Linked DNA regions of Rattus norvegicus. The protein of the gene in region 2 interacts with the protein of the main gene of each other region in a pairwise test. Links are inferred from orthologs where the notes say so. Each region holds a gene or a part of one and is shown on either strand. Other genes may lie near its edges.

The links.
Region 1: the proteins of Cep70 (region 2) and Trim29 interact in binary tests that used the Homo sapiens proteins (3 or more experiments, as listed by UniProt). The two-hybrid records come from large-scale screens. The link is inferred for Rattus norvegicus from reciprocal best matches to the Homo sapiens genes CEP70 and TRIM29.

Annotation. Positions count from the first base shown.
Region 1 is NC_086026.1:52,577,796-52,581,974, reverse strand, and holds the start of Trim29 (tripartite motif-containing protein 29), read right to left. Parts: upstream 2,801-4,179; 5' UTR 2,683-2,800; coding exon 1,879-2,682; intron 1-1,878.
Region 2 is NC_086026.1:108,738,207-108,741,706, reverse strand, and holds part of Cep70 (centrosomal protein of 70 kDa), read right to left. Parts: intron 1,853-3,500; coding exon 1,738-1,852; intron 1,106-1,737; coding exon 1,026-1,105; intron 1-1,025.

The sequences.
Region 1 (4,179 bases), about 56 Mb from region 2:
GGCTCCAGACTGGGCTGCCCACACCTTCCTGCCCTCTGGAAGCGGCCCTTCCACAGACACTCACAGTGGAGCCATAGTTTGCCCAGAAAAGAGACCAGTGTACGCCAGGCTTTCAGTGGAAGTAGGACCCGAAACCTTTGCTTTCTGTGCCCACTTTGTCCCCCTTCTCACCCCAGAGTCCTCAGAGACTTTTCTAAAACTCCTGGGGCTTCACAGAGAAATGTGAAAACAGTCCAGACCACTGGTCCTCAACCTTCCTAATGTTGTGACCCTTTAATACAGTTCCTCACATTGTTGGGGGGTCACCCCAACCACAAAATTATTTTCATTGATGCTTCATAACTGTAATTTTGCTACGGCTATGAACCATAATGTAAATAGTTTTGAAGACAGAGAATTGCCAACGGGATCTGACCCACAGGTTGAGAACCCCTGGTCTAGCCCATCCTTCGGTGTCACATGGGGGGAACTTAGTCGCTGTCTTAGAGCTCGTGACTGGCAACCTGCTAATACAGGTCTAAGGCTGGCTCCTAGTCCCCTTCCTTCTGTTCTGAATTCCCAAGCACAGTCCCTAAGAATGGGCTTCACGTTCCCTCTCTCTGTCTCCCATCCTAAAGCTTTTTTAAAAGCTGGCCTGGAACCAAAGAACCCTGGTGACAGAGGACACTGGGGTCAGGGACAGGAGAAGCTGAAGGTACCTTTGGGAGCCAAATGAAGCTTTTAGAGAGGATGTCTGAGTCTGCTCCTACCTGTGACTCAGAACCTGCTGCCCAAGGGTAGGGACAAGAGGCACAGAGTGAGTGACCAGCAAGCCTGTGGTGATGAAGCTGGGTAAGGAGGGGTCCCTTGGGGGTACAAAAGCTGACAAGAAAGTAAAACCCCTGCACTGGCCACCAGGAAGGTTTGCCCCTGGAGAGGCCAGCCACATGCTGCTGGGTGAGTGAGCTCAGGAAGGGACAAGGCCAGCGGCCACAGCTGGGCCTTAACCCAGAACACCTTCCCCAGGTGTACCATATCCACAAGTCTCCACTTGCCTCTGCTCCTCCCCGGGGATGTGCCTGCCGCCTAATCACTCACAGGGAATTCACACAAACACACTGACATAAATACGAGCAGACACCCACATTCGCAGACACCCGCGTGCGTATAAAACACACATTTACATCCACCCACCCACAAATGCTCTCACTCCAATGCTGTCCACCCTCAGGCACAGACCTGTTGGCTGGAGCCACAAAAACAAAGGGCGCAGGGCCCGACTGAGAGCAGAGTAAGCAATGGAGATGGGGGTGGTGGGGATGACGGGAGTGGCTTCCAGATTAGGGCAGAGCAAGCAGCTGCTGGACTGCAAATCCAAACCTGAAACTAGCAAAAAGGGTCCTCAGAAGCCCTCAAGTCCCCTCTTAGTGTCTCCTCCCTGCCTTAGTTATTACATGTGAGGACAGAGAAAGAAAGAGAGAGACAGAGATAGACAGAGAGAGACACAGAGACAGACAGACAGAGACACAGAGACAGACAGAGACACAGAGACAGACAGAAACAGAGACAGAGTCAGAAACAGAGAGTCAGAAACAGATGGAGAGACGGACAGAGACAGATCAGCCAAGCAGAGTCCAGAAGAGTTCCGAATCCTTCAGTTTTACATTCTGGCCTGACCTAAGATTCACCACGTGAGCTTAGCCTAGCGTCTAATCTGTTTGCTAGGGGATGACCTCTCATAAGATCGTTGGAAGTTAGAGAATGACCTCTGAGCCCCTGGCGGAGGTGAAGAGGAGGAAGAACTGTCTTCTAAAAGCAGAGCACCGTGAAGACTTAAGTCCCCAGTGAGGGTCAAGGTGGGAAGGGTAAGGGAAGGCAGCGAGGGGACTAGGAAGTCACCTCTTTCTCGGCCTTGGCCTCCTCCACCGTCACAGTGCTATGGTTCTTGTGCTCCTGGAACATACAGAGATAGCAGATGCAGGTCTGGTCGGTCTGGCAGAAGAGCTCCATGGTCTTGCCGTGCAGGGGACATTTTCGGGCCTCGAAATCCCGGATGGGCTCGAGTAACTGATGGTCACGGAAGGCAGCGCCCTCCAGGTGGGGCTTCAGATGCAGGTCACAGAAGGAAGCCTGGCACACCAGGCAGGACTTGACAGCCTTCTGCTTGTTGCCGATGCAGGAGTCGCACAGCACCTCCTCAGAGCCCGACTTAGACCGCAGCAGGAGGCTGGAGTCAGCTCTGGGGTAGCTGTTCCTGCGGGCCTCCCCCGGCTCCACGATAGTCACCGTGGGTTTGCGGGGCTCGGAGAAGATGGACTTTCGCAGCTCCCCCTTCTCAGCAAAGGTCACAGGAGGTTTCTTGGAAGCCCCCAACTGGAGCCCCGCATAAGGGGACCTCCTGCCTTCCGCAGAGTCCATGCTGAAGTAACTGGAGCCTTTGTCGTCTACTGACTCCACGAATTGAATAATAGGCCTGCGCCACTCGTTGCTGGAAAATAGGCCACTCTTCCCCTCCCCTGACTTCAGGGCACTGCCCAGGGTCTTGCCCTCTGTCACCTCCCCACTGTGCCCGTTGGTTGTCTTGGTGTCCTTACTGTCTGCTTTAGTGCCATTCTCTAGGCTGCCGTTGGGACCCGGTGGGCTGCGAGCGTCCCTGGCTTCCGGGCTGGCCCCATTGCTCCTGGAGGCATCGGCACCTTCCATGGCAGGTCACTTGCTAGCCTGTTTCTGCTGGTTGGGGTCTTGTGGCTGGTGACTTCAGTGGGTGTCTCAGGCACGGAGTGGGGCTAGCAGCAAGAGCCCAGGGACACACCTGTGGGAGAGGTGGGGCAGGAGGAGGAGCCATAGGCGGAGCACAGGCGGGGCAGAGTAGCTAATTACCTGGGCCACGCCTGCACATTCATCCCTAGCCCGGGATTTTAAAGAAATGTGGTTTTTTTTCTCTCTCTCGTGTCTTTTTTCTCTCTCTCTCCCAGTTTTATTACTTCCCACCACTGACAACCAGTTAGGCTGCTTCCGTCAGATGCACTTCAGGCAGAAAGGCAGAGCCTCTGTCTTCACAGGTGGGCAGGCTTTGAGGAGGTCAGTGCCCCTGGGGCCAGAAGGTGAGGTGTCCACAGAGGTCCACGGGACAGAAAGCTTCTTAATTGGGTCACACAAGCCAAATCGCCTTGTAATTTGCGGGCTGGATATCAAAAGCACGTCTCCACCCTAGGACAGCACATTCTGAGGAAAGCTGTGGCCCGGGTCTTGTTTGCACAACTGATTCTAACCAATTTGCAGCTGATGCCTTAGGTATTTTGCATGTCTGAGCTTATTTAAGCCTCCCTACAATCCTCAGTCTGGCGCTCTCAAGGCCCTCGCTTGCGCTCGCGCTCTCTCTCTCTCTCTCTCTCTCTCTCTCTCTCCCTCACTCCCTCCCTCCGTTCCACCCTCCTCCTCCCCCTCTCTCCCCCAAGGTGTGTGTGTGTGTGTGTGTGTGTGTGTGTGTGTGTGTGTGTGTATACTCATGCTTGTGCACGTGTCTGTCTATCTGTCCAACATATTCCTCAATTGCTTATCCCTTTTTTTTTTTTTTGAGGCAAAAGCTCTTGCTGAAACTGGAGCTGACCATTGGATCTGCCTGTCTTTCTTGGCAGTAGGACTACAGGCACTGGATACCACATCTAGTGTTTACCTGGTGCGAGAGATTGAGCCAGGTCTTCATGCTTGTCCAGCGAACATTTCACCCACTATGTCGTTTTGGATGTTATTCCAGAGGGCCCGGCCAAGAGAAGGTGTGTGGGTCTTTTCTGAGTCATACCAAAAACCAACTATAGAGAGAGGGAAGAATCAAGTGTCTGGTCTCTGGGGACCATTGCCACTGGAGTCCCTAACTGTGCCTTCTGACAGAGATAGAACTTAGGCACTAAGAGGACACTGGTTTCAGCCCATTACAGGGCTGGGACCATAGTCTGGGCCTTTTGAGGTTGTGAAGTCTTCCCTTCTATCCCTAGTTCTTAGAGCCACCTGTGCCCATGGCCCTAAGAAAGTGTACATGCAGGCCTTAGGTATCCCCTCAGAACAGATCAGAACCTGTTTGGGGCCTTTGGGCCAGAAACACAGCAATGAAAGGAATCTGAGCAATGACAGCCAGGTGTGGGGTCCCCAGAGACCAGACACTTGACTCTTCCCTTTCTCCATAGTAGGTGTTCCGGTATG
Region 2 (3,500 bases):
TTATCAGACTCAGACTTATTAACACGTCCAGTTGGCTGTTTGATACCTTGACCTCTCTTTAAATCTCTGTACAGTGAACGCGTAAGCACCATAGTTCCCAACATGCATCCAAGACATGCATTTCTGGGTCTCCACCTGAGGATTTAGGAATTGATTTCTCCTTAATGAGTACAGTGCTCCTTCTTGATTCTTTTAGTCTCATCGGAGTATTCTCAGCCCTTCTTTGGGGAGATTTGTCAAGTAAGAGGTGTATGACACCTCAGAACAGGCCTCAGGGACGCAGCTTATCCTGGTTGGGATTTCTGGACAAAGCAGTTCAGGTTGTTTCTGAGATTGAGTTTCCTTCTAAGACATCAGATTTCAGTGATGCCAAGCCAGGGTTCACTTTCTAAAGTTCTTGTTCTCTGAGGAAGCAAGTTAATTTCCCTTAGCCAGATACCAACCCTATTGGAAGGCTCTAAGCAGCGGGGTCTACATTTTTTTTTTTTAGCTTATTTTGCTTGGTCATGTTTTTATAAACACTGATAGAACTGAGAGTCTTACAGAATAATGCCATTTCTCATGAGAAGTTTTCAAAATAAGATAGTCCCAGTGGGCTGAAGAGATGACACACAGTTAAAAGCACCTGGTGCTCTTATGAGGACCTGGGGTCAGCTCCCAGCACCAACAATAGCTAACTGAGTATAATCTAGACCCAGGGGATCAGGCCACCCCTTCTAGCACCTGACTGCACACTGTGCCCACACATACATACAGGCAAGTACCATACACACACACACACACACACACACACACACACACACACATACACACACACATCTTTAAAAAGGAAAGAGGATAGTTCTTGTCTCCTTACAGGCTGTTTCTATTCTATGAATTAATCCTAACCAAGTCTTCCTGCAAAGCAGTTAATATTTCCCAAAGACCTAAAGACAGACATGAACCCAGTGTCTAAGGAACACCCTTCTCTCAAGTCCAGCAACACCTTCCAAGAAAGAGTCGGCCACCATCAACAGACATCTCACCTAAGATTTCAAGAAGATCATTAGTAAAAGCCTGAAATGCTGGAAAAAATTCCTCATGCTCTTCCAATTTGTTGATAATGCTGTTTAAAACAAACATAGTTTATAAAAAACATCATCTTTAGAACATTTGCTAAAAACAGACTTCTCTACTCAGTATGCAATTGAACATTAAGTACCAGTGGTCAATAAAACAATGGAAGGACGGGAGAGACCAAGAGTGAAAAAAAATTAAATGCGAAAAACCCAACTGCCAGATTGTATAAGGGTTTTTACTGGAAAACATGCAGAATATATAGATGACACATGTGTGTATGTGTGTGTGTATATATATATATATATATGACTTATATGTTTATATATATACTTATACATATAAACACACAATACACACACACACACACATTCCCATTATGTACTTTTTAAAATATCAGGTTCTATATTAGTGGTGCCCAGTTTTTTAAAAATTCTTAATATTTCTCTTCTAAACAAAAAATATATATAACTAGTAATTATTAAGTAGTTTTGGTAGTGTCCTAGAAATAACTGATAGGTTATAATACAACTCAAGAGTTGGTTGTAAAAACTTAATTTCTCCATGTATAACTTGCCCTGAGGGCCCTGCCACTGCAAACGGAAGGTAAGTGACTTGGACAGCTTTGGGGCCCTTACTTTTCACCACTTCATGCATTCCCGACGCACTGCTAACAGATACCTTTGTAGGTCTTCAGGTCCTAACACTCGTTTAATCTGCTCACTGACATCTTCATTAATCATCTTACACAACTTCCCAACGGTGCTGACCACCATACACAATGACGATGAACTGTCTGCAAAAGAGGAATGAAAGCACAAGATACATTTTTAAAGAATTCCCAAAATCATTACACTCATCTAACATTCCCTGCTCCAATTATACTCATTTTACTTTTGTGGCAGCGAGGATTAAGATTTATTTTTATTAGTTTACATGCTTGTGTGTCTGTGAGTGTGCACGCATGTTTGTGGTATGTGAACTCTGAAACAACAGAGGCCAGGAGCATGGGTGTCCTTTCCTCTATCACCCTTCGCCATTTCTTTAAGGCACACTATCTCCTTGAGCCTGGAGCTCACATTTTCTTGGCTAGGCTCAACAATTCTGTCTCCATTCTCCTCAGAGCTAGGTAAAGGTATTTGTATTGGGTAAAGATATCCAGCTTGGGATCATAACTCTGGTACTCATGATTACAGAGAAAGTGTTCTGGCCACAGAGCCCTGGGAGTGGTAGTCTTAAGCAGGGTCTCATGAATCCTAGGCTGGCCTGGAAGTTGTTATGTCTCAAAAAATGATCCTGAACTGATCTTTAAAAAAAGGATTTATTTGCAAGTGTATATGAGTGTGTACATGTATATATGTGTGCACAAGTGCTTTTGCACACATGGAAACCAGAAGAGTGATTGGATCTGGAGTTACAGAGACTTGGGGCATGTCTGCATTACTATAAGGGTGCTGGGATATGAACTCCAGTCCTTACAATTTCACAGCAAGGGCTCCTTAACCCGTGAGGCAACTCTACAGTCTGTGATCTTGAACTTATAACCCTCCTGCCTCCATCTCCTGAGTATGTGTACACCTTGGACTCTATAGACCATACCTTGGACTCTATGGATCATACCTTGGACTCTATGGACCATACCTTGGACTCTATGGACCATACCTTGGACTCTATGGACCATACCTTGGACCCTACGGACCATACCTTGGACTCTATAGACCATACCTTGGACTCTATGGATCATACCTTGGACCCTATAGACCATACCTTGGACCCTATAGACCATACCTTGGACTCTATAGACCATACCTTGGACTCTATAGACCATACCTTGGACTCTATGGACCATACCTTGGACTCTATGGACCATACCTTGGACTCTATGGAACATACCTTGGACTCTATGGAACATACCTTGGACTCTATGGACCATACCTTGGACTCTACAGACCATACCTTGGACTCTATACCGCCAATGCCCTGTTTTTTTAGTGCTGAGAATCAAACCCAGAGTTCATCCATGTTAGGCAAGCATCTACCAACTAAGCTATAGCCCTTCCCCTGGTTCTGTTTATTGATGCGTATGTAATTAATAGGAGTTCTGTGAGGTCTGCTGGTACCCACAAGCAATCTGAGCACTTGGAAGGTGAAAGACAAAGACTAGGCGGTGAAGGCCAGCTTTGGCTGGAGTGAGAGCAAAGCAACATTGTCACCAAACCAAACACAACCGAACTCAACCCAACCCAAACCCAACCCCAAACCTCCAAACTCAAATTCCCCCTCCAAACTTCTAAATCCAAACCCAAACACCCAGACAACCCAAAACCCAGAATAACCCTAAACCCCAAACAACCCAAAACCCAAACCTATTTTTTGTTACTTTATTAGGAATAATTCTTTTTTTTTTCTTTTTTTTTTTTTTTTTTGGTTCTTTTTTTCAGAGC